Cricetulus griseus: one gene and its partners. The protein of the gene in region 2 interacts with the protein of the main gene of each other region in a pairwise test. Links are inferred from orthologs where the notes say so. Each region holds a gene or a part of one and is shown on either strand. Other genes may lie near its edges. The genes, in order: Bfsp2, Ushbp1, SEC14-like protein 4, Txlna, Ccdc146, Cops4 and Cep68.

Region 1 (4,677 bases), on a different chromosome or scaffold from region 2:
GTGGATAGCCCCCAAGGATGCCCCTGAAGTTGATCTCTGGCCTCCACATGTACACACAAAAGTAACCAAGTGCCCCCCACATTGTCTCAAGTAAACAAAGTAGAAGGGAAAGATCGCAGATTTCATAAATAGACAATAAAAGTGCACACAGTGCTCCAGCAGATGAGTAGAACCTGTGTGACCCTGGCGATTGACAGGTGCTAGAGACAACCTATGTAAGTCCCCAGAACAGAGAGGCTTCCTTAGCTCTGCTAAGTTCCGGACATGGGATCTCAGAGTCACCTGTCACAAAGGGGAGTAATGGTATCTATAATACTTCTGGGATTGTACAGTGTGCACCCAAACAGCAGTACTTGTCAGCCCTGTGTTTTCCTGCCTTCTAAAGTTGGATTGAAAAGTCAGTGAGGTAAAGAGTGGAACTGTGCTCAGAATTTGAGTATACTCAGTACCTACCAGAAGGTGACTCCCGTTCCCGTCTCTTGACTCAGGTCCATCCTCACATTATAGGGTCAAGGAGTATGTCCATCTCTAGACCTGGGATGCTTAGTTCCAATACACTACAACCTGAGCACATTCCCAGGCTGGAGGGACCATTCTAAGCCCCCAAGAAGTGACTGGGATGTGACCGTTGAAAGTGTGACTTGGAGTATGCCAAAAGCAACGATTAAAACCTGAGGTGCCCAGCAACCCTAACTTGTAGCACCCATGAGTGCTTTCCAGAAATTGTTTTGTTGTTTTCAACTTCCTAGTCTTATTAGAGGAAGACACAGAGGTGGAAAAGAGCAGAGCCTAACAAACAGCTTCCCAGAAGTTCAGGTCCTAAACTGGCTCCAGAGCATCTGATGTGTCAGAATTAGCAATCAGGCAGATGTACGGCAAGGTCTAGAGGAGGAGAAACATGGCCAGGGCCAGCAGCTGACAAGCATTGTGTCAGAGGGCAGACATGAGGGGGGGAGAGAGAAGCTGGAAGGGGCCTGGAACGGCTGCCAGACCTGAGGGCAGCAGGTTGCTTTGTTTCCCTTGGGTCTCCTGGGCTGCACCTTTGTCCATGGCTGGCTCACATCCACATCCATCCTCTGATCCTATGTGGATGTACAACATGAACACGCATGTGCACACCCCTACCTCAGCACGTCAAGGGGTGTGGAAAGTCCTGCAATCGGTCCTGAGGCCACTACAATGAGTCCCAGCTTGTGCTGTGAGATATAAAGTGATCAGTACACTTGTCACCCAAGGTCCTCAAGCCTGTTTCCTTACCGGTGAAACAGAACCACTTATTGCCTGCCCGACTCTCTCTATGGCAGTAACATACACAAACCCACGGGCTGGGGATATAGAGGTCGCAGAGTATTCACCTAGTATGCATGAGACCCTGGATTCTATTGCAGGGATTAGAGGCAAAAGATCAGAAGTTCAAGCTCATCCTGGCTACATAGAGATTTTAAGGCCAGACTCAGACACCCTGTCTAAAAAGAAATAAGACAAATCTAGAGGATCCGTTCCCACAACCTGCACTGCTCCAGCACCCTCACCCCAGCAGAAAAGTCTGGATTGGTTGGGCACATGACCCAGCATCAGAGAACGCCTGTGTGCCTCTCACAGGCTGGCGGGGTGGTTCTCTTCTGGCTCAATGAACAACAGAAGCTCATGGAAGGCAGTAGACAAAGAACACGGGGACAGAGGAGCTTCCAGAGAGGCCCGTGACCAGGCCATGGGGATGCTGGGACTAGCAACCAAAAGCCACTGAACTCTGTAAACCTGCCAGGCACCACAGAGGCAGAGAGAATGATGAGTGAGAGGAGAGTGGCAGCGGACTTGCCCCCTGGAGCCAACTCCAGCATGCCCCTGCAGAGGCACAGGGTGTCCCTCAGGGGGACACGGTCTCCATCCTCCCTTGAGAGCCCCCCAGCATCCAGGACCAGTGCACTGGGTAGCCTCATCCGTGCACCTGGGGTCTATGTAGGAGTAGCACCCAGTGGGTGCATAGGTGGCCTCAGTGCCCGAGTGACCCGTCGGGCTCTGGGCATCAGCAGTGTCTTCCTGCAAGGTCTACGGAGTTCAGGCCTTACCACTGTCCCTGCTCCAGGCCCAGAAAGGGATCACACTGCTGTTGAAGACCTGGGGAGCTGCCTAGTGGAATATATGACCAAAGTGCATGCTCTTGAACAAGTCAGCCAGGAGCTGGAAACACAGCTGCGGGCTCACCTGGAGAGCAAGGCCAAACGCTCTGGAGGCTGGGATGCCCTCCGGGCCTCCTGGGCCAGCAGCTACCAGCAGGTAAGTCCTCCAGCTGTTCATCTAAAGGCTTGCTAGTGTCCTGAGAGGGGGTGTTGGAGGCTACAGCAACAGTGGTGAGTAGTCTGAGGCCGGGAGAGCTCACCCCTTTCGTACCAAAACTGCTGGTGGTCTAATGGTAACATTGGCTGCCATTCACTGGGGCTGACTAGGGGCCAGGACCCCTCTAGGTGCACATGCACCACCCCCAAAACATTCCAGTAGTGCTCTGTGACCAAACTAGCACGGCATACACCTTTCAAATAAGAAAACCTGTGTAACACGGTCCAAGTCCACAAGCTAATAGAGTAGCAGTTCTCAACCTGCAGGTGGTAACCCCTTTGGGGGTTTCTTTGCAGATATCCTGCATATCAGGTATTTACATTACAACTCATATCAGTGGCCAAATTACAGTTATGAAGTAGCAATGAAATAATTTTATGGCTGGGGGCCACCACAACATGAGGAACTGTATTAAAGGGTCACAGCATTAGAAGGTTGAGAACCACTGTAACAGAGAGGGGCAGTCACTATCTAACCTGGATTTTCCTTCCTCCAAAGTTGCATTGGTCCTATTATCTGGGACTGCCTCTGTCACAGTTACTTAAAAGGTTTTCAGGCCACCATAGAACCAAATACCACTGAATGGATGTGTTTTTTTAAATGATGACTAAGTGAAGGTGTGCTCCTGTACCCACATACATGGTATCAGTGTGAATATGGACCATACTGGTAATTTTCAATTTCCTATTACATGCGTGCCTGTGCGCGCGCGTGTGTGTGTGTGTGTGTGTGTGTGTGTGTGTGTGTGTGTGTATGTATGTGTAAACACAAATGAAGTTGGCATTAATATTATCTTATTTAAATCAAGATAGCAAAAATTATTTCAACATGAAATCAATATAAAAGTGCCAGCCCAACAGTGGAGATTTAAATAGAACTTTCTGGATGGTGGATGGAAACATTTTACAGTATTGGCCACCTATTGTGTGACTCCTCTTGCACAGACATGAGCCAGTACTTTCACCCCAGACAGGGCACCATCAACAGATCAAAGATTCTACCAAAGTCTAGCTTGGGGACCAATGAGTTTATTGGGGTTAATTACAGGAGAATAACAGAATCAAAGGAAGAATCAAGGCACATGGGGGATGCTCATGAAAGCTGCACCCCTGGAGCAGCTCCCTGCCCAATTTGCAGGCAGCCCTATGCAAGTCTCCCTTCCCCAACAAGGGTTTATCACATATATAATTGGGGGTGGTGAATCTTACAACTTCCTAAGCTCTGTAAGTTTCCTGGACCTTAGGAACCATCTCCTCCCAGAGGGACTACAATTCAGAAAATAGCTATGCAACACCCTCTGTGGCAACCGAGTCCTTGGGCTATGGCTATGAGACTGAGAACTTGATATTTTTTGTGTTACTTGGATTTTATTCCTTCTGATCACTGTGTACAGTAGACAGTCATCTTTCTGGGCAGGGATGCAGAGGGCTCCTTTTCCTCACCTGGTCAGGGCTGTGTCGTGTTCTCTGAGACAATTTCTGCAGTGCTCCAAGCTCATCCATCAATTCTGCCTGTAAGCTGTGGTCCTCGGGGCTAGAATCCTATTGGCATTGCTTATCTCAGCTGGTCACTCCGTGGGTAGCCGACTTCTCTCTCCCCTTTCTCCCCAAATGCTGGCCTTGGGATCCCTGCACACTAAACCAGTCTCTTATCCCAGCCAGAAGCAGCCAAATCCTGGTCCCATTTGCTCCCTGGAGTCAGGCATGCAGCCTGAGAGGTTACAAACTGTACTGTTGGCTGATGCCTGGGGCATACACAGAATCCCCATTTCATCTCACTGTTCTCAGCACCCTCACCCTCCCCTAGAGAAGGAGGGTGCAATACCATCTTTCTGGCTGGTGCAGCTGTTCTCAAACATCCAGGGAGGGCCTCACAACCTGTCCAAGAGGTAGCCACCCCTCAGGGAATCCACAAAACTATCTGAGTCTTAAATATTGTATGACATATTAACCCCTAGAACATCCCAGATATTCCAACCTCAGCAGCATCTACTGGACGGTATGATACCCACGTGCCAGGAAGGAACCAACATCTCAGTATCGTGGTTAGAAAGTTCAGCCATGAAATTGGCATGATAGCTTTCATAGTGCCAGACGGTGCTATGCAGACAGAAGAGAAAAAAGTTGTTCTTTTTACAAAAGAAGTTTTACAAAAACTTCTATAGGGGCGCTGGTGGTGCACGCCTTTAATCTCAGCACTCTGGAGGGAGGCCAGCCTGGTCTCCAGAGCGAGTGCCAGGATAGGCTCCAAAACTACAGAGAGAAACCCTGTCTTGAAAAACAAACAAACAAACAAAAAACACTTCTACAATGCATGAGCCTCCGTTTCTCATCTATAAAC
Region 2 (4,614 bases):
CCAGCTGCCTCAGGGAATCCTCTAGCTCCAGCACCTGCAGGTGATGGGGGATCAGACTGTGGCTTCCCATACAGCAGCTCTCATCAACAGCAGGAACCCAACTCCAAGCTCTGTCCACGTGACCAGACAGGTCCCAGTTGCCACTCAACACTTACCACTCAGCATCGAACCTGAGGTGTGCAGCTACTGATGGGGGGTTTAGGATTCATTTATTTTTATTAATTTATGTGTATTAGTGTTTGGTCTGCATGTGTGTTGTGTGAGAGTGTTGGGTTGCTGGGAACTGGAATTACAGGAAGTTGTGAGCTTCTGGAAGAACAACCAGTGAATGTTCTTAACTGCTGAGCCATCTATCTCTCCAGCCCCCGCCTTTTTGACTTTTTTCCTTTTTAATTTTTAGGAGACTCAGTGTTTCCCTGGGTTTTCTGGATCTCCCCAGCTCCAGCCATCCTCCTGCCTCAGTCTCCCACCATCACACTCAGGAAGGAGAGTTTCATTTTTATGTTGGTGAGAAGAGCCTCTCCAAACTGAGTGCTGAGCACCCTAGCCCAGTCTGTCTTTACTTCTATTTTGAGACGTTTGCCTATCTTGTCTAAGCTATTGTGATCCTCCTGTCTTAGGCTCTAGAGTTCTTAGCATGACAGGCTTGTCCCACAACACCTGGGTTTAACATCACACACAATCTGCCCATTTCTGGTCACCACCACCTTACTCTTCCCCGGGCCCACTGTTATCGCCCCTCCCCCACCACCAGGGTCATGGTCCACCACCAGGCTGTTCCTTCCACGGTCAGCAGATGGCGCAAGGGAACACCTCCAGCAGGTCCAATTCCCCGCAGAACCCAGAACCCTCTGGGGCTTCGCAGTACACATAGCACAGCTGCAGTCCTGCTCAGCCTCCACATCCTGCATACTGTGGTAGTCCCTCCTTGCCTGAGAGTTTTAATATGAAAAGAGCCTCTTCCTCCCCAATTGCTTTTTAGTGGTGGTGTTTTATCACACCAATAGAAACCCTAAGACTGGATTGATTTGTGTGTGTGTGTGTGTGTGTGTGTGTGCGCGCACGTGTGTGTGTGTGTGTGTGTGTGTGTGTGTGTGTGTGTGTGTGTGTGCGCGCGCGCCAGGACCTCACACACTCTAGGCAAAGCCTCTATCACTGAGGTACTCTGAAACTTTTAAAAAACAAACAGAAAAATTGACACAGGTCTTTAACCCAGGCTGGCCTTGAACTCAGTCTACATCTGAGAATGACCTTTGTCTTGACCAAGTGGCCTCTGATTGAGATCTGTCTCTCCTCAGCTTCTGGGGTGCTGAGATCATGGGGTGCACCCTGCCTGGCTTCCTTTTGACCCTCTCTTTCACTTTGCTGTCTTCCTTGGTCACTTCTGTGGCTGTCATTCCTCCACATCAGTTTGTTGAATGAATAAATGTGTGTTTGTTCAGCTCACCTGTCTCTGCAGAATCTCCTTCTCTGCCTGGGCATCCTGCAGGGAAGCCTGAGTGCAAACCAGCTCATCCTCATGGCGGCCCAGGGCCAGCCGCAGCCAGGCGTTCCTCTCTCTGAGGCGAGCTGCCTCGTGCTGTTCAGGCCAGGCTTCTTCCTGACCATCAAAGGGCTCCAATGCCATCTGGTCTCTCTCTTCTTTTTCCAATGGCCTTGGAAAGCTTCGGGAGCGGTGGCGCCAGGCGGCCACAGTGGCCTCAAGGGAGCTCAGCCTGCTCTGCAGGGTCTCAAACACACTGGGTACTGATGTGGCACCAGAGCTGGTATCCAGAGGGGCTGCCTGCAGGGTCTGGTGGCCTTCCACCTTTGACTTCAAGGCTATGGCCCCGTGGGATCCCATGTCACAATCACCCTCAGGCCTGGAAAGACAACCCAGGAACCCCAGCCACCTGAGTCTGAGCAGGGGCTTCAGGGCTAGACCTCAAGGTCCCTGGGAAGGGTGAGCAGGCAGTGAGCTGAGGAGGAAAAGGAAGGGAAGAGAGAGATGGAGGGGGATAGAGGAGGCAATGGACACTAAGAGAGGTGGGCAGGGCAGCTTTGTGAGGGGCTCCTGCTGGAACAGGAAGTAAGCACTAAATTCGTCCTACCGTTTCCCTGGGCTCTGCAGGTCAGGACCAAGGTGCTCCTGAAGTAACTCAGGTTTGGACTCGAAGCTCCCATTGGTGGCCTCCACCTCCTCTGAGCTCTCAGCCACTGGGTCCAGCTCCCCCTGAAAATGACAACCCCACCACGGCAGGTTCTAGTCCAAGCAGGCCTAGGCTCCAGGATCCATGAGGTTGGGTGAAGCAGGAAGAGGGGCACACTTACAGGCTGAGGATGCCTCCCTCGGCGGCTTCGGGGCCTAGTGGCCCGGGCGCTCATTGCCTCTTTAACCCCCTGGTTACAGCCCGCTCTCAGATCTTCCCTTTGTCTCCCCGTATCATTCGGTTTTCACCCTAGGAATTTTTGGTCAACTGCACTGACAGAACATTTGGATACCTCTCCGATGGTGCCCATTGCCTGTCTATTTGCCCCAACCTCTTGCCCCCTTCTCTGGTGCTTTTCCCTCATCAGTGTCCCCCTCTCTCCCCTATGGAGGTATGGGATAGGGACCCCAAGAATCTGCTCTCCTCCCAGGACTCTCCTAGCACCAAGCTCCCTCCCCTGGGAGTGGGGGGCTCCACCCTCTCCTCTGCTCCAGGGCACCTTGGGAAAGGCCTGAGTGCCTGGGCACATCTCAGGTCATCCTGGCCACTGGCTGCTGAGGCTGTGCTGGCCAAGGCTGGCCTGGGAGGGGCTGAGAAACAGGAAGCCTCCTGCCCTGGTCACATGGAGAGTTATTGTCTTGTTTCCTTCTTCAGGATGTCAGCTTCCTCCAGAATGTGGACAGGATGGAGAATTGGGACCCTTGTGCCACTCCAGGCTAACAGCCCAGCCCAAACTTGCAGTCCCTTTCTCTGTTTCCATTTCAGGGTTTCTCAGTGTCCATCCCCAGGTTCACCAGGGCTCACTCTTACTGTAAGCTCTCTCTCTCTCTCATTCTCTCTCTCTCTCTCTCTCTGTGTGTGTGTGTGTGTATGTGTTACTCTCTCTGTCTCTGTCTCTCTCTCTGCGTTTCTCTCTCTGCCTCTCTGTCTCTGTCTCTCTCTGTGTGTGTTTCTCTCTCTCTCTCTCTCTCTCTCTCTGTGTGTGTGTTTCCTCTCTGTCTCTGTCTCTCTCTCTGCGTTTCTCTCTCTGCCTCTCTCTCTCTCTCTCTGTTTCTCTCTCTCTCTGTTTCCTCTCTGTCTCTGTCTCTCTGTCGTGTGTGTGTTTCTCTTTCTCTCTGTGTGTGTTTCCTCTCTGTCTCTGTCTCTCTGTTGTGTGTGTTTCTCTCTGTGTGTGTGTCTGTGTGTTTCCTCTCTGTCTCTGTCTCTCTGTTGTGTGTGTTTCTCTCTGTGTGTGTGTCTGTGTGTTTCCTCTCTGTCTCTGTCTCTCTGTTGTGTGTGTTTCTCTCTCTCTGTGTGTCTGTGTGTTTCCTCTCTGTCTCTGTCTCTCTGTTCTCTCTCTCTCTCTCTCTCTCTCTCTCTCTCTCTCTCTGTTTCTCTCTTTGTGTGTGTTTCTAAAATTAAAAATAACAAACCTGTAGGCGTGGGCTCCAACATTGGAATAAATTTTATTTTTCATTACTTTGTTCTATCTATTTGTGTCTGTGGTGGGTGAGCTGCAAGCACTCGTGGGATCGATCCTCTCCCTCGGTCAGGCGTGGTGGTGGCCGCACCTGCTCTCCGACCCACAACGGTTTTCTTCAAGCAGAGCACCGTCTGTTGGCGCCGGAAAGCTCCCCCGGGACAAGGAGCCTGTCCACGGTATCTGCGGGATTTTCTTTATTTTTCCTTTCCATTTTGGCTTTTAGAAGTGTCTCGTATAGCCCAGGCTAGCCTAACACCTGACGTCATCTTCTGCCCTCTGGAGTGCGGAGATGACAAGTGTGCTCCCCAGCCCCCATCGCGATGGTATTGGTGAGTGCCAACATATGTAAAAGACGAAGCAGAAATACATGACGCAAATCCACGTCAAGTCCCACCGCGTCAATCACCAATCAGCCCCGCCCAGGTCGGCTCCTGTCCTATCTCAGCAGAAGCCTTGACAAGTGTAGTGTTGCTTCAGTCAACCCCGTTCTGTCACACCCATCCCTAACACTACCCCACTTCAGCCCCACTCCTGCCAGTGTGCTCTAAGGCACACCCCCAGGATCCCGGGGCCATTGAACTACATTTCCCAGAAGACGTTACGGCAGCACCGTGCAAACTTCCGGTCAGGAAGATGGCGGCTTCCTAGAACCCTGTGATTGACTGGCTGTGGTTCCTAGGTTGCAGAGTGGAACCTGGCGGTGTGATCTCGTGCGAGCTTTTTGTCGTTGTGGTCGGACATCGATCCGGCTTGCTGCAGTTCCAGGTTCGTTCTGCTTGAGGAGGTGGGGGCTCCGGAGTCCTGAGTCGCCACCCCGAGAAACGCGCATCATTGCACGGTCGGCGACTTGGGCTTCCTGCTGCCCCAGGACCTGATCACCCGCGGGAGCGCCCTCCCTCGTGCACGGCCCGGTCCCCCACGCGCGGTAGCCGTAGCCGCGGGTGGCGGGAACCCAGACACAGG
Region 3 (4,443 bases), on a different chromosome or scaffold from region 2:
TGCCAGTGCCTTCCCCGAATAAATACCAGAACTCTGGCCTTTTCTTCCCCAATTCTGGGTGATTCTGATGAAGGCTAGCCTCATGGTTCTAGAGACATTACCCCAGAAATTGCATCCTGATGGTCTGGAACAGAGAAGAGTTCCTCTCTCTTATCTTCAGTTGCCTCATTTGTGAAATGAAGGTAATGTCAAATTTGTCCAATCAAAGCTTGAATGTGTTTAAAATAAACATGTAAACCAGGTTTGGTCGTGCATATCTGCAACCCCAGCACTCAGGAAGATGAGGCAGGAGGATCAGGGGTTTGAGACAAGTCTGGGCTACATATGGAGTACATATCTAAAAAAGAAAAGAAAAGAAAACCAACAGGACTGAAGAGATGGCTCAGCAGTTAAAGATTGGATATTCTTCCAGAGGATCCAGGTTTGATTCCCAGCACCCACATGGCACCAGCCATGCATGTGATGCACATATATACATACATGTAAAACACTCATAAAACACACACACACACACACACACACACACACACACACACACACACACGCACACACACACCCCCTCTGTAAAGCTGGACCTAGTGCCCTAGAAGCAGAGATAAGTAGATCTTGTGATTTTAGAGCCAGTCAGGCCTGGGTACCTCAAATCTCTAAAAAGTAGCAATAATAATTGTTTAATTTTTGAGACAGGGTCTTACTATGTACGTAGACCAGACTGACCTGCCTCTGCCTCCCAAGTGTTGGGATTAAAGGTATTTGCCACCATGCCTGGCCAATAGTAATAATCCAAAAAATGAGAATACATTCTGCTTTGCTTACATAATTAGACGGGAATATGTGAAGACAAATGACCAAACATAAAGGAAGAAAGTCCCACACTTTAACAAGCAGACCATGAGGCCTTGGGGCTGATAACCCACAATGCTGTGTACAAACATTCACAGCCTAACCCCTAATGGCTAGTCTACAAATAAGTGGTGCTCTATAATTTCCTAAAGTCAGCCTCAGAGGCAGCTACTGACCCTGCACAAACAGCTTATTTGATGACTAACTAAACTTCTAGTCATCTGCTGTGACAGGCCAACCTACAGCATCACCTCGGTCAAGTCATACCTTCTCTGGGAGTGCACTGCTGTCATTGCATGGCTGTGCATCTAACAGATTCTCCTCTTTGGCCTTTTTCTTTTTGGTAAATCCATAGCCTTCATGTACCTCACCTGTCACTGTCATTCAGCGTGATAGTCTGGTGCTAACAAGGATTAAAGCATGAATCCCCGAAGGCAATGAGAAGATTCACACTGGAAGACAGCTGCAGCCTCAGGGACCAGAGGAATTCTTGTTGGGGTTGGAGGGTGTGAAGGGGGACAGTGCCCCTTAAGAAACAATAATGCTGCACCCCTCATCCCCTCTAGGCAACTGTTCCCTCAGCCTGGAGAAAAGCCACCATATAGTGTCATATGAAGATTGTGTGTCCGAAAGTGTGACCACAGTATCACATGAAGATTGTGTCTGGAAGTGTGACCACAGTGTCACTTGAAGAGTGTGTGTCTGGAAGTGTTACCACAGTGTCACTTGAAGAGTGTGTGTCTGGAAGTGTGACCATAGTATCATATGAAGACTGTATGTCTGCAAGTGTGCATAGTGTCACATGAAGACTGTGTGTCTAGAAGTGTGACATAATGTCATATGAAAACTATGTGTCTGGGAGTGTGACCACAGTGTCATACCAAGACTGTGTGTCTGCAAGTGTGACCACAGTGGTCCACGCTAAGCTCAGGAAGACTAGACTCTAGAAGGAAATGATCCTATGCACAGTCGTGCAGAGCTCTGGTCCATCCACAAGCCTTTCCCCTTCTTCCTCGTTTCTTTTCTCATAATTTTTAAAACAGCTCATAGGGCTCTCTATCACAATCTGATCCCAGAGGCCAGATGTCTAGTTCCAAAAGAACCCTGTGCCTGGTGCTTCCTGAGGCCATCAGTGCTGGGAGGCTGGTCAGATCCCACTGTTCCACTAAGGACCTCTCTTTCACCAGGAGAGCCTTGGCTGAATTCCAAACTCCCCTCCTTCACCCAGGACTCTCATTTCTCCCTGTAGGGTCCTTCCCTATGGGAGACACTTCAAAACAATCCATTCATCTCTTGTTCTTTGAGAGAGTGTCACTAGGTTCAGCTAGTCTTGAACTTGACAATCTTCCAGCCTTTGCTTCTCAAGGCTGGGATTCCAGACCCAATGCCTCCGGTGCCTGGCCTTCTGTCACAAATCTTAAGCTTCCCTGAGTGTGAGCCTGGGCTGGACTCCTAAGGCCTGGGCCTTCCCTTTCTGGTGGCTTCCCTTCTGTAGGTACAGCCTACAGTATGCTCTCAAAATAAGAGCCCTTAGCCTTTTATTTTTCTGTGATAATTAAAAGTAAATAAATACCTCTGATAAGAAGACTGTGAACCCTGGCAACAGAAACCAAAGCAAACCAAACATTGTCGAAATCTGGGCAGAGCTCTCTGATCTGCCTGGCAATAGCCACAGGCTGGGAACAGAGGCCAGGGCTGGGTGGTGGAGCACGCTGTGCTGGAAGGCTGAATACACACACACACACACACACACACACACACACACACACACACACGCACACGCACACGCACACGCACACGCACACGCACACGCACACGCACACGCACACCATGAAATAACCCAGAGAGGAGAGGAGGGGTGCAGTATGCAGTGCAGCGGCCTTGGAACAGTGCTTGGGAGGCACTGGGCTTCACCATCCAGTCCCCACACAGCACTACAGCCAATGTGAGTTCAGCTCCCGCACCTTTCACCTTCCACCCGCCTCACTCCTCACCCTGGCCAGTGTCTCCTGCTGCTGCGGGCTCAGTTCTCCAACTTGTCCGCTCATGGTGCTCTCTGCCTAGCTTCGTCTGCCACCACCCTGGCCCAGTTATGCCTAGCAGGTCTGATGCTGGTCCCGCCCCATGGGAGAGTCACTGTTTCTGCCCCGCCCTACCCAGTGCTCCCTGGTTTTTGTTTTTGTTTTGTTTCGTCTGCCCAGGTCATCAGGCCTACCCTATGGGGCAGAGGGGTGACTTGACCTCAAGAGGTAGGTGTCTTGAGAGTCTGAGGCAGCAAGTGGCCTCTACCTCCACGTCTTCACATGCTCAGGGCTCTGACACTCAGGTAGCAGTGGGCTGTAGGTGTTGGGGGTGTTAGGGATGTGTTCACCTAAAGACACATGCATGGGGGCAGTCTCTTCAGAATTGAGGATGTCACTGCCCCAGAGTTCTTTTGCCTAAGGAGAGACCAACCCCCTTTCCCTGACCTTGAACACAGGCTGGGCTCCATGAGTGGTCACTGGTCAGGAAGAGATCCCTTATGTGCCAAATGGCTCCAGCCCTCTAGACGTTGAGAAGGGTTAGGTAAGATGTGCCTCCCATGTTAGCAGAATGTCTGGTATGTCACACTCACTGTTATGGACACAGTTTCAAAACTGTTATGAAGGCTCTCAGTAGAGCCAGGAGCTACAGGATGGCCCAGGTGGTGAATTGTTGGGAGGTATCACAGCTAGAGTGACATATGACAGCCCAGGAGTGGGTGGGGGTGCTTTACACTGAGTAATCTGATCTCTCTGAGGAGGGTGAGAAAACACAGGCTGCCTTGGCATGAATTTTCTGGACAGCAGGTGGCAAGGGAGGGGGGAGGAGGAGGTGAAAACAGGCCACTGAGACCTTTCCCCTCTGTCCTCTCATGGGTCAAATCAAGTTCCAGATATAAGATGACCAAGCATGGGCTCATGTGAGACTGTTGCCCATTGGAGATGTGATTGGTTACCAGCAAGTATGGGCTGTACTAAGTAGAAACAGCAAACTAGATTTCAATGATTTAGTACCAGAAACAGTTAATATTTTATTATTTTTGCTACTGATATCATATGTTGATATGATATGTTTTTAAGATATACTGAAAACATAAAATACATTAAAAAGGAGGAGAAGGAGAAGAAGAAGAAGAAGAAGAAGAAGAAGAAGAAGAAGAAGAAGAAGAAGAAGAAGAAGAAGAAGAAGACAGGTTCTTATGCAGCCCAAGATGGTTTCAAACATTCTACATAATCAAAGAGAATCTTGAATTTTTGGTCTTCCTGCTTTCACTTTCCCAGTGCTGGGAGAACTGGCAGGTGCCACCATGCCTGGTGTGCTGGCTAATTTTATGTCAAATTAACATACACACATATGGAAACTCTGCTTTCTGATTTTCCAGAGAAATCTTAAAACTGTCCTAAAGAAGAAAAATCTATCAATTACAAATTGAAAACAGGTCAGCACTCATGAGGCCAAAGCAGGAGGATCTCTGTGAGCTTAAGGGAAGCCTGGTCTATCTATATAGTGAGTTCCAGATTAGTGACACTCTGTCAAAAATAAATAAATAAATAAATAAATACTATGAAAAAAATGAAA
Region 4 (3,933 bases), on a different chromosome or scaffold from region 2:
GGCATTAGACCTCACTCATAGACAGGCCACCTCCCTACAGCTGGCCCAGACTCCTGGGCTGACTTAGGAAAGCAGAGCAGCTGTAGTGACTTCAGATTTGGTCAGTGGAGAAGAGATAGGAAGAGATTACCATCTAGATATTGCCCTGGGTGCCTAGAAATTGATGGAGCTAATAGCTCCAAGGTTCTATAGACACATTGTAGCTTCCTAGCCCATACCTCTGAGACCAAATAGCTGTAACCCCTGCATGGGCTTTAAGAGGTAGCTGAAGTGAGGCAGGCCAATTATTTGGGCCACAGCAGAAGATACCCTGTCCTCACACCTCTGCGGCCAAGCATGCCCCAAAGGGTTAACAGTTCAGATCTCAGCCTGGCACAAGGGCTGGAAGAATACTATGATTTCCAAGAGAAAAACCTTAGGAGACCCTCCACAGGACAACAGATCCTAGCTGGAGATGGCAAAGAAGCCTCAACATTTACACTGCTGCTGGGCACCCTGAGTAACTAACTATACAGGGTAGCAAGTTCTTGAAGTGGTAGTGCCCAACACGGGAAAAGGGACATTAGTTTGTAATTTCTGGTCTTGAACACATGATTGTAAGCAGTAATGTTCTATTTACTTTTGGTTTTCTGACAAGGGGTTCTGCTCCTAGCCCAGACTGGTCTGATGTTCAGTGTCCTGTTGAGTCCTGGGTTTACAGGCACACACCCAGCTCAATTTTGAAAGATGAAGCAACTTACAGGATAATGCAATAGCTGAAATACCACAAGAAGCAAAATTTCAACCAATCTTTGTCTATGGTTTTCTTAGCTTACAGAAGCTGTCAGCTCCAAGACACTGTTGCCCCAGTGAGCTGCTGTGTAAACTGAATACCCTGGCAGGTGCACTACAATAACCTCAGCACAGAGCTGCCACACGTGAACACAGATGTGAGTGGGATGTGGAGGAAAGGCAAACACAACTACCTGCAGCTGTTTTGGTTCCTGGGATCAGTCTGTTGTTATAAGTTATTCTTGACACCTGGAGGCTCAGGCAGCAAGAAGTGAAATCCCAAGGACTCTTTTTTTGGCCAAGAGGGTGCTAGCAAATGGCACCAGAACAGTCTTCAGAGAGGCATCTGGATCTAGGGACCAGCAATGGCTACATGGAGATGGAGATGAGAATTAGTGGTAGCCTCCCAGGCTGAAACCCATAGGCAAGTTTGTGGCAAGGCCAGTATCCTTTCTCTTAATAATCTTTTTATCTTCCCAAACAGGACACCTTGGCACCAACATGGCAAAGGACCCTGACAGGATTGTCCCAAATGGGGCGCTGGAGGCCAGGCACCTGGGACCATTGCTAGTGTATCCCCTCTTCCTTCCTTTGACGATCTTTAATACGAACTCTTAGGCAAAACAAAACAACAAAAACACCTCCAAAAAGAATCCTTTGGGTGACCGTCTGTCAATCATTTGTGCAGGCTAGAGGCACCTGTGAATGTAAGGCTACTGAGAACAGAGAAGCAACATCGGCCTGGACCTGGCACTACCAGAGGGCAGGAGAACTGGTGCCTGAAGAGGCTCCTTCACACACAGACACACCCCTCAGTTTCCTTGTCTTGGGCAGGAGGAAGCTTAATGACAAGCTGTTTCTTACAAAGGCTCTGCCCAGGAACACCATTCCCAGGTCAAGAGAAAAATGGAACCTCCAGGGGAATGACAAGAGCCCAAACTGCCCAGACTCTGCTTACAAAGGAGAAGAGTCCAGGGCTGGGTGTTTCCACTCTTCACGAGCTCTGAAAAGGGCTGACGGGTCTGAGCCTCAAAATCAGGCATGAAAATGTTCAAGTCATCTGACCTGCTGGCTCAATGGATGGCAGCTACAGATGAAATCTCCTAAGACTTCAGTTTACAGTCACCAACTTCATCTGCATACCCCACCCTTGGTAAAAGCCCACTGTACACCTACAGGTGTTAACTAACTGCACTGCACACCTGCCCCATCCATGTAAATAAGACTAACCCACAATTTAAAAATTGCAAAGTGTCCAATGCCCTCCAGGTCACAATACCCTGGCCTTAGCACTAGGCTGCTCAGTGTGGGAGCCTTGCATGAACCAGGCCTGACTGGGCTGCTGCTCCCTTCCCAGCATGCCCAAGCACCATGATCTCTAGGCAGTGGCAGAAGTGGGCTGCCGGGGCCCTGTTTGGCCTGCTGTTTCTGTGCTTGGTACTCCAGGACAGCCAGGAACTTCTGTGGCCCTTGGGGAGCTGGATGGTTGAGCTCCAGGACTCTCAAGCCCTTGTTCCTTGGAGGCAGTGGCAGCCTCTGGCCTCCGCTCAGTGCCAATGTCAGTGAGGGAGCCCTGGGCACCAGCAGTCAGGTCCTGTACCCTCTTGTTCAGGTCATTGCGCTCTGTCTGCAGTGCTCGGCATAGCTTCTCCAATCGTTGGATTTTCACCTGCAGACCTTCCAGCTCTTTGTCCCGGAGAGTTTTCTAGGTGGAGAAATAAATGGAGCATTCAGTGAGACACTCATTTCTTTAAGTTTGTGCAACTTAAAATCAAGAGTCGGCCCCTGCCGTAAATAGCCCTAGCTTACAGTATGACTTTATTGTCAGACAATGTATCCCTCTACTTATCTACCAGATGACCCAGGCAAATCATTTGCAACTTGAAACTGTAACATCTGTTAAACAGAACTAGCCAACCTCAGTTCTCAAAAGAAGGTTCAAAGATGAGATATATCAAACAGGAGAACTACCCTTTGCAAATAAATGAAATAAATAAAACAGACTACTGGGCAAAACTGGCTTGCAGCTGCTGTACTATGTTAGTGTCTATCTTGTAGACTGCAAGCCACAGTCACAACTCTGAAATGCTCGACATGTGAATCACACCAACCATTAGGACCCACTGTTTCCTGTTACTGGGACCCAGCCTGGGTGCCTCACATGACAATACTGGTAGCAGCCAGCATTGTCACTGCACTTGGATAAATATGACTAGAAATAGAGTTATAGATCATGTGTAGTGTCACTAAGAAACAGGTAGAGGGCTGACAGACCATAACTGCACCCAGCTCACTGGACTCCACCCACCTCTTCAGCCATCTCGAGCAGGGCCTTATTGCTGCTCTCCCACCGGGATCGATACATGGTCGTTTCTTTCTCCAGCTTTTTGATCTTCTTTGTCATCTGTTACATGACAGATGGAAAGGAAAAGGTCAGAGTTCGGCTGTCTGGACATCTGTGCCTCCAAGGAAGGAAACATTACACTTGTGCCAACTGAAGAGTCTCAAGTTAAGTCTACCACTGAGGGGCTGACAAGACTGCTTAAGAAGTAAAGGAGGAACTTGCTACCAAGCCCGATAATCTAAGTTCCATGCTTGAAACCCACAAAGTCAACTTCTGCAATTCTATGGTGTATGTATACAACAAATACATATACCCCCCACCAAAAAAGTGATGTAGGGTGAGCTGGACAGTGGAGGCACATGCCTTTAATCACAGCACTCAGGAGTTGGATCTCTGTGAGTTCAAGACCAGCATGGTCTACAAAAGCTAGTTCCAGGGCAGGCTCCAAAGTTACAGAGAAACCCTGTCTCAAAAACCAACCAACCGCTCAGTGGTTAAGAGCACTGACTACTCTTCTAGAGGACTGGGGTTCAATTCCCAGCACCCACATGGCAGCTCACAGCTGTCTGTAACTCCAGTCCCAGGAGACCTGACGTTATACAGACATACATAAAGGCAAAACACCAATGCACATGAAATAAAAATAAAAAATTAAACAAAACAAAAACAAACAAACAAAAAACCAAATAAATAAAAAAGCCAAAAAATAAAAGTAAATATTTTTTAGGAAGGCTACTATTGAAGCCTAGTAATGGAAGGCATACTCTCTACTACTTTAAATTCCAGCATTAATATAGAAACCAAACTAAGAAATAATA
Region 5 (4,524 bases), about 75 Mb from region 2:
TTTCAACTGAGGCTCCCTCTTCCAGGGAACCTTGTATCAAGCTTTGATACCCTTGTATCAAGCTGCTAAAAATGAGTGAATGAATGAGGCATTGTGAAATTTACTTTCTAGCTGCCTTGCCGCCTTAAATGCAAAGAAATGAGGCTAGGATTTGAGCTGACTGGAATGGCTCAGCCTTTATGCTCTGTTGCTTCTCACCTGACTAGCCTAGATGACTAAGAGGCTGTGCCTTCCACATGTACTAATCTGAAGGTGCTGAGGGGGCTTTACCACAATACAGATTAAGGTGGTGTCTTAAGAGTTTCTGTCCTGTGAAGACACCATGACCACAGAAACTCTTATAACGGAAAACATTTAATTGGGTGGCTTATGGTTCAGAGGTTCAGTCCATTATCATCATGGAGGGACATTTCAGCTGCAAACAGATGGTGCTGGGGAGGGAGCTGAGAGTTCTACATCTTATGCAGGCAACAAGTAGTCTGTCTTACTGGGAGTCGCTTGAGCATAGGAGACCTCAAAGCCCACCCTCCACAGTGACACACTTCTTCCAACAAGGCCACTCCTCCCATTAGTGCCACTCCCTTTGGGGGCCATTTTCTTTCAAACCATCACAGGTGGGTGTCAATGGAGAGCTAAACAAAACTTAAAACAGCACCTGTGAAAATTGATGCCACCCCTGCTGTCAATCCCAATCTCATCGTTACTTCTAACCAGAAGCCTGCTTCTGGTTACTGTCTCCATGCCTCTACTCCGTAGGTCTCCAAATCTATATAGTTAACTTATTATTTGTTCCATGAAGTTGGAAAGCAGGAATCCTAACCAGTTTTCACTGCACTTGCCAAACCTGAGGGGCGCGTCCACCTCCACCAAGGCCCGGGGGTCGATGTCGTCCGACAGGACGGCCACCTCCCGCCGAGCGGCGTCGTACTCCACCTGCAGGCCGCGCGCCCCGCGCTCTGCACCGCGCACCGCCACCCGCACGCGCTCGCCGTCCGGGTGCGCCAGGGGATCCAGGGCCCTGACGAGCAGGTGGCAGGGGAGCCGCGTCCTCAGCCGCCAGAACGGGCTCACCCGCAGCGTCCACTGCATCAGCGCCGGGTCTCCGGGCGCCGAGCCCTGCCGCGCCCCGTGCGAGCCCCGGAAGAGGACGCTCGCCCGCCCGCGGAGGGCGCCCGGCAAGAGGCGGCCCCACATGCCCGCTCCGCAGCGCGGGACCAACAAGGCCTCCTCGCCACCGAGATAGAGGCCCGAAGGCTGTAAAGCAAACCCGGTGACAAGTGACAACTTCAAAGTACCACTGGTTAAAACCCTGACCCTGCTCTTCCTCTATTGCCGCCCTTGGTCGGAGGCCGCCGGGATATGTAGTTCTAAAGGTAGCGGATATCCAAGTGCTCCAGGGGCCTTGGAACTACATATCCCAGGAGACAGTGCGCCGGAGAGATAGAGTGACACGAGCTGATTGGTGGAAAAGCCTAGCCGTTGCTCCAATCTCATTGGCCCAAGAGACCCACGGACCAATGGAAAGAGCGGAAGGGCCAGGCTGCACAAGCGGCGCGGCTACCTTGGATACCAAGGACGCGACTCGTTTGGAGAGTGTGGAGTTTGGAGTGAGATTCCCAGGGACTAAAACCCGCGCAGAAAAATAAGAGTCTGAATAAGGACCAGAACCAAGAGAAAGGGTAAGAACGGCGTGTTCACAGACGGGAAGTAGACGCAGAGCTGCCCCCTGTAGGCTGGGCCCCCTCCTCCTCTGCCCTGTAAGGGAACTTCCTCTTGCCTAGAAAGTACTGGATAGAAAAGAGAGCTGGGCTCCTGGCTCTGTCCTAACTGTAAGCAACCTTAAGCCACTCATTCGGTGCCTTTAGGTTTTACTATTTTCTTGTAGAATGACGGCAACAGTATCTCCCTTGCCTTGTGTGGGAGGGTTTTTACAAGGATCCATTGAAACTACAGTTGACAAAGTAGTGCACAGTCTACAAAACGAGTAAAGTGGTGTTTTAGGAATAGCATTGTTTCTAAATTGCTGGGAAATTTTGAGGCATTTGGTCTCGTTTAGATTTTTTTCTTTTTTAATTTTTTTAATTTTAATTAGAAAGATTAGTTTACATGTCAATTTCAGTTCCCTCTCTCTCCCATCCTCTCCTGTCCCCCCAACTAACACCCTACCTATCCTAAACCCTTTCTGCTCCCCAAGGAGGGTGAGGCCTTCCATGGGGGGCGTCTTCAGAGTCTGTGGTAGCCTTTGGGATAGGGCCTACGCCCACCCCCTTGTGTCTAGGCTCAGGGAGTATCCCTCCATGTGGAATGGGCTCCCAAAGTCCATTCCTATGCTAGGGCTAAATACTGATCCATTACAAGGGGCCCCATAGATTTCCAAGGTCTCCTCACTGACACCCTCATTCAGGGGGTCTGGATCAGTCCCATGCTGGTTTCCCAGCTATCAGTCTGGGGACCAAGAGCTCTCCCTTGTTCAGGTCAGCTGTTTTATAGATCTCTTTCACTACAAATGATCCTCGGGGTTAGTGGTAAAAAACTAAAAGTTTTTTTTTCCCATAAGACTTGTGAGGGGAAAGTCTTTTTTCCTGGCCCTATTGGTTTATCTGTGTCACAGGGACCTGGTCCTTCATTTTTGAGGTAAAGATAGAATGTACTAAATAACTCTATAAGGCTTCTTTCCTTCTTTATTATTAAGTAGGCAGTAAAAATAAGGAAAGTGTGGGGTGCAGCCATTATTTCACCCTTGCTTGCCTAGCCTCTCCCACTCTCTACAAACAATTCCCTAAATTCCTTAAGTATAGATAGATAAGTTTGATAGAATGCCAGTCCTATGTATCGGTGTTCACTTTTAATCCTCCAGAATTTGGAAAGCTGAAGCTGAGGATCTCAAATCTGAGGTCACCCTGCACTACATAAAGGGAACTCTGTCTCAAAAAATAAAATAAAATGGTGCCTTTAAAGACAGAAGCCCTCAGCCAAAATGAGGACCCCAAATCTTGGGACCTGAAGTAACAGAGAGATTGGTAGACTGATCTAAAGTCTTCAGCAGTGTCTGTATTATTCCTTTAGTGAAGATTATGGTAGCCTCGGTGCAGCAGCCCAGACCTGCTTCCAGCAGCCCAAGAAGTCCTCTTACCCTTGGGGACTTCCACTGAGGCGAAGCCCTTCCTTGGCTTTACTGCAAAAATTAATGTTGGAATTAGCTAGTATGAAAGAGTTGGAGTTGATTTAAAAAAGAGAGATTTTAAACATAGATTTATGAAGCATAGGGGTTGACAGAGATGATCACTCAGGGAAAATAAGACATGCTCAAGAACACAGGTGTAGGCTTTTCAAAGACATTATACCCTCAAGTGTCTTAGCAGGAGCTCTGGAGAGTCACTCTTTTGGTGGTTCTCAAGTTACGCCTTGAAAGATTTCTTAGAAAGGATTTTAAAACCTTTTCTCTCTTTTTTTCTCAATAAGTTATATTATTGGATGGTTCTAGAGGTGTCCTAGACTGGATTACTGTCCAAAAATAAAACCACGTGTCATAAGAATGGTAGAAGAGGGTATTAACTGTAAGAGGTATTTACTGTAGATAGGGTTTCTGGTGAGATTCCTAGAAAATTGCTGGTTTATAGCTGAGAAAGAAGAAAGGCCTCTTGTGTTTAGGTCTTGGGCGTGATCCATTGCTACTTCAACATTCTAATTTGGAGATATCTCTATATAAAAGAAATGTTACCTTTCTATTGGCACCCTTCATAAATAATGTTGTAACTTCGTTAGAATTCATGATTTCAGCTGACGAGAGGCACTGGTAGCACTCTGAGATGAAGGTTCCTTTCCTTCCCATGTCTCCATCATTTCTGTGGTTCTAGCCTGCCTCTGGAAGATATAAAATACATTTTATGCTAAGCAAGAGCCTGCTCTATGAATAATGTCCTTAGCTTTGTGTTTTATGTGGACATAATTATCAGATTAGTTTTCAAATTATCTTTTTATGAAAACCCATAGGCATATTTTTGAAAAAGTGAAAATGGCACAAGCAAGTTGACGATGAATTCAGATTACTTGTATGATTGCTACATATAGTAAATAAAATGCATCCATAATAAATTATCCTGTTTCTATAGTAATTTTCCCATTCTGAGAAAAATTAAATTAATAGAATTGCCAACTGAGCCCTAATGGCATATGTAATACTATCATTATTTCATTACTTTCAAATAAAGGAACTAAAACTTATTGAAAATTACATTTCTGGTTTCATGAGGTTGAGAACTGAGACTCTGATCGATATTAAAGTTACCAACACCTAACATGTATATATCACATGTAAATAGTGACTAACAAATACCATTTTCAAAACATGCTTATGTGCATTGTCTCCCTATATCCTCACAAAACACTGTTAAGAAGGATAGCTGTTACTCTCCAAGAGTGACATGTAAGGAGACAGATTTAGAAACAGAAGGTGAAGCCAATATGATCCAGAAATTGTGGGTTTGGGCGACGAAAGCATAAAATTATGAATGTACAAGAATT
Region 6 (4,379 bases), on a different chromosome or scaffold from region 2:
TTCTTGAACAATACACTGTATGGGAACACAGAGGGCTTCAGTATTAGATATCTTTTGTTTCGCAGTTCCCAATATAAAAACCTTAAATAAACACATGGCATAGGTGCTTCATAAAGTTATGTGGCTGGCAGAACTGTTTTGTTACAGGGGTAAACATCCTAACATTCTTACCCAGATAGTACTGGGCAAACATCCAGAGACAAGGCCAGAAAGCAGCACTGAGGGAGGGCTGGAGAGATGGCTCAGTGGTCAAGGGTGCTGCTCTTCCAGGGACCTGAATCCAATTCCCAGCACCCAGGTCAGAGGGCTCCCGGTGACTCCCTCTTTTGGCACCCATGGGCACCTGCACACAGATGGTACTCACACTCACACATACATAAAAATTAAAAATAATCAACTAAATCCTAAGACAAGAAAGAAAGCAGGTGTTGGTGGTATACACCTCTAATCCCAGCACTCGAGAGGTAGAGGCAGGCAGATCTCTGTGAGTTCGAGGCCAGCCTGGTCTCCAGAACAAGTGCCAGGATAGGCTCCAAAGCTACATAGAGAAACTGTCTCGAAAAACCAAAAAAAAAAAAAAAAAGAAAAAGAAAGAAAAGAAAGTGATACTGAGGGAGGAGCTAGCTAGTACTACATGGGCTACCATTTATCAATCCAATCATTTCATTTGCTCTGAATAATAAACTCACATGGTAAACTGCCACAAGAATAGTTTCCAATGACTCCTTTGCAATATCACTTTGCTACTAAAAAGTTAGTGGTACATTCCATTTCCTTTCCCCCTGAATCACTTGCTTTCACCAGTATTACAGAGTCAATGGAAGACTTCTCAGGCTAGCCTTAAGCCTTTCAGCTTTCATTCTCACTCAGGTAGAACACTCTAATGGAGAAGCCCAGAAGAAAGCCAAAGCTACACTATGAAACTAGAATAAAAGACCCAGCCAACAGCCAGATACTGACATGAGCCCAGCCCTAACTGAACTGCTAGCCAAATTAATCTGTTTAATTGAACCAGGCAAGACCAGGAAGACAGCCCAGGTGACACAAAGAATCCTGGGGAGAAAAGTATGCTTACACCACTAAACTGTACGTTTATTAAGCAGCAACAGACAAAGAAACAACCCACTGGAGACATACTACTGCTCATCTCCAATTCAAAGCTAAAGAAGTTAAGGAGTAAGCCAAAGTTCCAGAATGCTTCCCAGTTCAAAGAGCTACAGCTTATCTGACAACTAATGGCCTTACATTTTCTGAAATACATAAGCTAGTTTTACTTTCATCCAAACCAATAAAAAGTATTAATACATGCAAAAAAGACTAAACAATGAAGACATAGTCAACTACTTCCAAATCCTGGAATAAGTCAGTATATATTTACCGACTGCTTAATAGTAACAATTCTATGGCGTTTTCTATATACCAGGGACAGAACTCAGATATTTAGTGTGATAAGTACACAGACACACACTCATCTTGAAATCAGGTAAGACTAAGTCTCACAATCACACTACCACTTTTTTTTTAAGCAGAAAAAGGAAGCATAAAGTAGTTAAGGCTGGGGTATAACTAAATTTACCAGCAAAAAAGCAGCACAGCTGCCATACAACATCTACACAACATCAATGTGCAGGCTTGAGCAAGAGTGTTCAACAGTTAGATCAACGTGCTCTCAGCTGCCAGCATGTAAAATCAATTGGAGGCCTACTTTCAGCATAAAGAGCTAGGTGTGGGGGGTGCATGCCCTTAATCCCAGGAGTCCAGAGGCAGAGGCAGGCGGATCTCTTGAGTTTGAGGCCAGACTGGTCTACAGAGTGAGTTCCAGGAAAGCCAGTGCTACACAGGAAAACCTGTCTCGAAAAACAAAGACTTTCAGCAGAGAGCAAACCTATGAAATCTACAAAAAGAAAACGACTAAAACTGTTCAACAGGGGGAGCTGGAGAGATGGCTCAGTAGTTAAAGAGCACTGGCTGTTCATCCAGAGGACCTCGGTTCAATTCGCAGCTCACAACTGTCTGTAACTCCAGTTCCAGGGGATCTGATACCTTCATAAAATAATAATAAGAAAAAAATATATATATACATACATACATACATACATACATACATACATATATAACAAATTATGACTTGGAGTGGACCTAAGCATTCTAAGGTTTCTACAAAATTCCTAAACAGCCTATGGAAACATCAGTGTTCTAGAAATCCTAGATCGAGGACATTCTGCCTGTGTTCTTTTCTGCAGAGCTGGTGACAGAGACTGAGGGAGAGTATCCAGAACATAAGGACCTACACACGCTATTTAAACTTGAGAAGTTCTGGGCGACATGACAACGGCCATACTCCTCGGCCCCTGTCACCCTGGAAAGCCTTCTCTTAAAAAAAACAAACAAACAAACAAATAAAACTCTGCATCAAAGCCCAGACTATAAATTTATCTCCACCAAGGTGAGGGCGGTGGCGGCAGCAAACAGAAGTCAAACTCGGTATGTTGGGCTCTCCAGAGCCACTAACGAAGGCGGCCACCGCCGATGGAGCCGTCATCTTTCGTGCCACGCTTGCAGAAGCCAAAGGAACCCGTGGAGGACGTTACCAAGGACTTAAGACGCTGCAGTCAGCACGGGTCTCGGGGCGGTCTGGACCCCAGCACACGGTCCCTGACAGTCTTCTGCGGCTCCCAGCATTTACCGCCACAGCCTGAACCAGGCCCGCCCCCCTGAGCCCTCGGGCCTACCACCCCGGCCCCACACCCGAGAGCCCCCGGCACCTCTAGGAAGGTAAATTTGTGCCTCCCATCCCACCTCTGGACTCCTAGGAAATACTCACTTGCCCGCCAGATCTTTATGAGAGCCACTCAAATTCATGAGCTGGGCCAAATCCTGTCTCACGGCAGCCGCCATCTTTCTTCCAGCTCAGCCACGGCTGCGGGACCGCTCGCAGCCGAAAAGAAAACGAGTGTGGTCCTCCAGAGCGCAGGCAGAGGGAACCCGAGGTGCCATAGATCGCGTCTTTACGGGCTAGAGCGCCGAGTGTGGGAGCCGGAATTAGCCCCGCCCTCGGGGTTGAGCGACACCAAACTCCTCTCCTCCCGTTTGAGACCCGCCCAGGCCTCTCGAGAGACGCTGGCTCTCACGCTCCGAACTGAGATTGGCTTAAACCCTTGAAGGAGTGTACCTTGTGCAACCTCAGTAAGGGCCCGGCGCGTTAAAACTACAGCGTTTTCACTAAGTTCCGGGTCTGAGGGTCGTCGTTCTGCCCTTCTTTTTTAAGGCATCTCTAAATCACCTATGGTAAAGAATGAGCTGTCTATAGTTTTTATTTCCAATTCAAGATAGTCCAACATTGAAAACAAAGCAAAAACAAACAAACACACACACACACACACACACACACACACACAATTTAGCTAGGAGGGAATACACCACGGACAAGAAAATAATTCTCTCAGGATAAGGCACCACCATTTAGAGGTGCTGATGTCTGCGCTTCCCCACATGTGAGAAACTTAATTGCATACTTTATAATAATATCAGTGGACTGCTTTCAGCGCACCCCCCCCCCCGCAAAAAAAGGCTAGACTGCAATACCAACACTCCAAAGGTAGGAGGCAGGAGGATTCGAAGTTCAAGGCTATGTTCCTGAATTTAGCAAGTTGGTGGCCAGCTTGGACCATGAGAGAACCTATGAGAGACAAGAGTCTAGGAAATAGATTTAATGTACACACACATCCCTGTGGACTGACTATATATGTGTATTCCCTTTCTCTGTTACATCCTATATCTTTTAAAAGTATTCATCAGAACAATGTTATTTTTCAACTATTGTCCTGAAGTAACTATTAATGATACTGCCTTCACTTTACAAACCGTTATTTGAATGACAAGTTATATGGTCATCTTACTTTTAGATGAGATTACATTCATTATTTATGTATTATTTCAAAACTTTGCAAAATTACAATCAAATAGGTGCAAGACTTTGCATTCTCTTCTTTTCACAATAAATGACACATCTTGTTGTTCTATCTTTGGTGTTTTCACTTTTCGGACAATCCAGCAATGTAAGTCCAGTCCTTTGTTAGCATTATTCTTAAAGGTAATGATGGTACATTACATTTAGTCTTTATAGGATATATAAGTAGCTTTAAGAGAGTAACCAATGGTGCAATGAATAACCTTATATGTGCATGGTTTAAGATATATGCAAGTAAAATACACTCCCAAAAGTAAATCAAGGTACACACAATTTTTGCCAGATATTGCCAAATTGTACTTTACAGGAGAATTTTAGTATTTTCTTCCTTCCTTCCTTCCTTCCTTCTTTTCTCCCTTCCTTCCTTCCTCCCTTCCTTCCTTCTTTCCTTTATTTTTCTTTTGACATT
Region 7 (3,933 bases), on a different chromosome or scaffold from region 2:
GGCAGAGGCAAGAGAATCTGTGCAGGTTCAAGGTTGGCCTGACCTATATAGTGAGTTCCTGACTAGTCAGAGCTACATGGAGAAACTCAAAAACTAAGCAACAACAAATAAAACACAAGAACTATTAGTGTTACTATTAATAGTCATTTGATAAAAAAAAATGGATGAATAACCTAGATACTTCAGAAGAGGATATTAGGAAAGACCAACAAACCTGTGAAACAGGTTCAGTATTATTAATCAGAGGGAAAGAAAACTACATTGATATGACAGAAAAGGAACTCATTGCTGGTGGGAAGCAGTATGGAGGTCTTCACAAGACTAGATAGGGCAGCAGGATCTGGGAATCCCACTACTGACTACTGTACATCCAGGAGAACAGAAGCTACACTCTCCTCTTTACTGTGTTCTAGAGACATCGGAGATGGAACTGGTATGGGAAATGGGAACAACCTGAAAATGGCTGTCAGTTGAAGCTGATGAGAATTCTACATTGAGAAAATAAGAGTGCCACCGCAGTCTAAATTCAATTGCTATATATAATACTGGCTGGTTTTCAAAACAATTATGTGTACATGTGTAGATCCGTGTGTGTGGGTAGGTGTACATGTGAGTCTAGAAGAGGACACTGGATGCCCTGGAGCTGGAGTTACAGTGCTTACAATACCTAAGCTGACTTTCCACTTCCTGGCTAGTTCTTTCTTTCTGGTTGTCACCTGTATTTTATTTTTAATCTCTTCCCCTCCCCCTCTCTGATAGAATCTCACTATGTAGCCCAGCCTGTCCTGAACTATCAAACCAGGCTAGCCAGAAATTTAAGATGCTCCTCTGCCTCCCAGAGGAGATTGGGATTAAAGGCATGCACCACCATGCCTGACTCTTCATCTTTAATTTTATATTGACTAATTCAGACTTTCGTATTAAAATTCACTAGCAGATAAATGGGTTGAATTCCTAAGGGCAACTCTAACACACTCAGTGAAAAGGCATGTTCCAATTTATAGCCACATACAGTGGACATGTGTGTCACACCAGACCCATAGATAAGTATATCATGTGTCAATAAACAACCAAACAAAGCTCTTGGTTACCCACCTGGGGTGTTATCCATCAGGCACTGAAGAAGAATCTCCCCCTTCTCCAAGACATTCTCTGTCAGGGACTGATGTTTGTCTATATCTTTCTTAAATTGCTTAAGACATCAGAAAAGAAAAAAGTTTCAATACTATTGCTTGTAAAAGACATCTAGAATGAACACTATCCAACACCTGACTTCTCTAAATGGAAGATAGCCACCACGCAGTCAAGAATCCCTCAGTAGACTTATCTTGTGGCAGCTTCTTTGAGTTCATGGACATATATTCACTGATTTTGTTTGTTGTTGAGACAGAGTCTTAATTTAGCTCAGGCTGGTCTACAGAGTCCTCTTTATCTTCCCCAGTGCTAGGATTATAACCCTGTGCCATCGAGTCCAGATCAACAGAAGAGTTTTCCCCAGAAGAAGCTGGCTCGCTCTTGGACAGGCGTAGGGATTCCATTTTGTACACTCCTTTATGGTGGTCTCTAACTCAGGTATGTGATTGACCCTTAGAATGAACATGGTAGGTAAGAACTACAAACAGCCGGGCGTTTAATCCCAGCACTCGGGAGGCAGAGGCAGGCCGATCTCTGTGAGTTCGAGGCCAGCCTGGTCTCCAGAGCAAGTGCCAGGATAGGCTCCAAAGCTACACAGAGAACCCCTGTCTCGAAAAACAAACAAACAAACAAACAAAACTACAAGCAGAAGTTTGTTACTACACTAACCACGCTGACCCGTGCTCCCCTCCCCCATCTTTATACCCCTTCTCTGAGGCCTCTATAATAACACCTTGACATCAGGGAAGCTGCTATTTTCCCAAAAATAGGTTATTTTCCCAAGCAGGTTATCCCTCACAGCTACAAAGCATCGTTGCTGATTTTTATTTTCATTAAAGGCAGTCCTGGCTGCCCTAAACTCACTATGTAAATTGGGCTGGCCACAAACTCATTGAGTTATGCTTGCTTCTGTCTCCTGAGTGCTCAGATTAAAGGCATGTACCACCATAGTCAGCTCTAGTTAATTTTTTAAAATCTTTTTTTTTTTTTTTTTTTTTTTTTTGAGACAGGGTTTCTCTGTGGCTTTGGAGGCTGTCCTGGAACTAGCTCTTGTAGACCAGGCTGGTTTCAAACTCACAGAGATCCACCTGCGTCTGCCTCCTGAGTGCTGGGACTAAAGGGGTGTGCCACCACCACCTAGCTAAAATCTTTCTTTAGCCAGTAAGAATCATATAAAATTAAACCCATGCCATGGGACAGACCTCACTGCTTAGTATTTTAAGGGTGCTAATCTTACTCTTGGATTTGTTCTCTTGCCCTCAGTATTCCTTTGCCCCCAAACTGTTTTTATCCTCCTGTGCTCTAGGGAGTTTAGATGCTGCCTCAGCCCCACTGCATCAAGAAGAAATACAAGTACAAGAGAGGATGACTGGGGACAAGTACAGGAGAGGATGAGTGTCAGTTAAAATATGAGCATACATAAATCCTAGCACTCATTCTCCGTCTAAGCAAGAGCCAAGAGAGCTCATTTGTAAGTCATGTTCCATTCTGGGGAGGGTGTCAGCAGTGTCATCTCACTGACACAGCTGTGTACATACAAGAGGCCTAAGCTTGACTAATATGCAGGAATAACTTCTGACTCAATTCCTAGCTGTCTACAATGCAAGATGGTTGCAGCTGGAAGTTGAGTTATAGAGGGGGTTATGAGGGCTCAAATGAAGAATGGAGTAAACCTATTTACACTTGTTCAGCCAGGCCAGGAAAGGCTACTGAGATAAGTCTGATAGAGCAATTCCTTTCCCTGGGACTCCCCGGGGCACTCTCCAGGCACAGACACGCTGAACAGAAAGAACCTTCAGGTACAGCCTTCCTCTAGTTTCTCTCTATCTCTACACTGTATCTAACAGCATTCCTGCCATGGCAGGACAGCTGGCTAGCCCAGGCTAGATTTTAGTAGATTGCAAGACAGAAAACAAAGGCCTTCCATCCAGATGAGCTGAGTCAGAGCTTGGTGGTTAATCTCACCCTCTTCTGCTGACTCAGTGTTAGGTTACATGATTAGATCTGGGTTCCCCATTTCCCTGCCAGGTTAGCAGCAGGCCTGGGCCACAAACACTGCCACCATGTGATCAAAGTCAGCCAGGTTTACCTGAGGTAGCAGTTACAGGAATTACCCTCCATTTCAATATGCTTTTTATCTCGTATCATTAACTAAAATTCATAGGTGTGAAATAACAGCCCTTAAAAATAAGCAGACATAAAATAAAATCCTAAGTCCCAAACATAGATACAAACTGGTGTCAGATTTGGGGTTAAATATGACTTAAATCTGTCCTATTACACAGCTTCAGCTGAGTTCCATAAACACAAATACAGTTCAGAAGAACTCTGGTGACGTGTCTGTGTTTGCACTGCCCTGTGTGGCAGCCACTGCATAGCAGTGGTACATATCAGACTTAACTGTCATACATGACTACCGTCTGTAAACCCCAGGCCTATGGTTCTAACCCTGAGACACCTGCCAAAGTACCATGCAAATCCCTCAAAAGTATTTATTGTTCAAGACAAATTTTCCTCTATCTGGCCTGGGAGTTCAAAATTTAGAATTTGAAAAAGGTGTCTTAATTAGATTTATTCAGATAAAATAGTCTGAGCTACAAGATTCCAGTTACTTGGAATTTTATTTTGTAAGTGACTTAACCACCAATCTTGTGAGTGAGCAAGCCAGGAGCCAGGACCACACATTACCCGGTAAAGCTGCAGAGAAGACTTGAGACCTGTAAGAGTGGACCTGGGTGGAGTACTGAGGTCAGCAACGTCTGTGACATTATACAACCAGCAGATCAGCTCTTCCAGCTG

Evidence for each region.
Region 1: the proteins of Ushbp1 (region 2) and Bfsp2 interact in binary tests that used the Homo sapiens proteins (3 or more experiments, as listed by UniProt). The two-hybrid records come from large-scale screens. The link is inferred for Cricetulus griseus from reciprocal best matches to the Homo sapiens genes USHBP1 and BFSP2.
Region 3: the proteins of Ushbp1 (region 2) and SEC14-like protein 4 interact in binary tests that used the Homo sapiens proteins (3 or more experiments, as listed by UniProt). The two-hybrid records come from large-scale screens. The link is inferred for Cricetulus griseus from reciprocal best matches to the Homo sapiens genes USHBP1 and SEC14L4.
Region 4: the proteins of Ushbp1 (region 2) and Txlna interact in binary tests that used the Homo sapiens proteins (3 or more experiments, as listed by UniProt). The two-hybrid records come from large-scale screens. The link is inferred for Cricetulus griseus from reciprocal best matches to the Homo sapiens genes USHBP1 and TXLNA.
Region 5: the proteins of Ushbp1 (region 2) and Ccdc146 interact in binary tests that used the Homo sapiens proteins (3 or more experiments, as listed by UniProt). The two-hybrid records come from large-scale screens. The link is inferred for Cricetulus griseus from reciprocal best matches to the Homo sapiens genes USHBP1 and CCDC146.
Region 6: the proteins of Ushbp1 (region 2) and Cops4 interact in binary tests that used the Homo sapiens proteins (3 or more experiments, as listed by UniProt). The two-hybrid records come from large-scale screens. The link is inferred for Cricetulus griseus from reciprocal best matches to the Homo sapiens genes USHBP1 and COPS4.
Region 7: the proteins of Ushbp1 (region 2) and Cep68 interact in binary tests that used the Homo sapiens proteins (3 or more experiments, as listed by UniProt). The two-hybrid records come from large-scale screens. The link is inferred for Cricetulus griseus from reciprocal best matches to the Homo sapiens genes USHBP1 and CEP68.

What each region holds. Positions count from the first base shown.
Region 1 is NC_048597.1:211,724,978-211,729,654, reverse strand, and holds the start of Bfsp2 (phakinin), read left to right. Parts: upstream 1-1,788; coding exon 1,789-2,277; intron 2,278-4,677.
Region 2 is NW_023276806.1:247,620,314-247,624,927, forward strand, and holds the start of Ushbp1 (Usher syndrome type-1C protein-binding protein 1), read right to left. Parts: upstream 3,059-4,614; 5' UTR 2,689-3,058; intron 2,439-2,688; 5' UTR 2,365-2,438; coding exon 2,311-2,364; intron 2,213-2,310; coding exon 2,091-2,212; intron 1,863-2,090; coding exon 1,448-1,862; intron 35-1,447; coding exon 1-34.
Region 3 is NW_023276807.1:100,840,530-100,844,972, forward strand, and holds the start of SEC14-like protein 4, read right to left. Parts: upstream 2,892-4,443; coding exon 2,838-2,891; intron 1-2,837. UniProt on the Homo sapiens protein: Probable hydrophobic ligand-binding protein; may play a role in the transport of hydrophobic ligands like tocopherol, squalene and phospholipids.
Region 4 is NC_048595.1:23,407,400-23,411,332, reverse strand, and holds part of Txlna (alpha-taxilin), read right to left. Parts: intron 3,176-3,933; coding exon 3,080-3,175; intron 2,477-3,079; coding exon 2,150-2,476; 3' UTR 1-2,149. UniProt on the Homo sapiens protein: May be involved in intracellular vesicle traffic and potentially in calcium-dependent exocytosis in neuroendocrine cells.
Region 5 is NW_023276806.1:173,067,378-173,071,901, forward strand, and holds the start of Ccdc146 (coiled-coil domain-containing protein 146), read left to right. Parts: upstream 1-1,526; 5' UTR 1,527-1,679; intron 1,680-4,524. Other genes in the region: protein FAM185A, read right to left, coding at 840-1,194. UniProt on the Homo sapiens protein: Essential for sperm flagellum biogenesis and male fertility.
Region 6 is NW_023276807.1:162,549,643-162,554,021, reverse strand, and holds the start of Cops4 (COP9 signalosome complex subunit 4), read right to left. Parts: upstream 3,047-4,379; 5' UTR 2,899-3,046; coding exon 2,825-2,898; intron 1-2,824. UniProt on the Homo sapiens protein: Component of the COP9 signalosome complex (CSN), a complex involved in various cellular and developmental processes.
Region 7 is NW_023276807.1:86,250,925-86,254,857, reverse strand, and holds part of Cep68 (centrosomal protein of 68 kDa), read right to left. Parts: coding exon 3,823-3,933; intron 1,193-3,822; coding exon 1,096-1,192; intron 1-1,095. UniProt on the Homo sapiens protein: Involved in maintenance of centrosome cohesion, probably as part of a linker structure which prevents centrosome splitting. Required for localization of CDK5RAP2 to the centrosome during interphase. Contributes to CROCC/rootletin filament formation.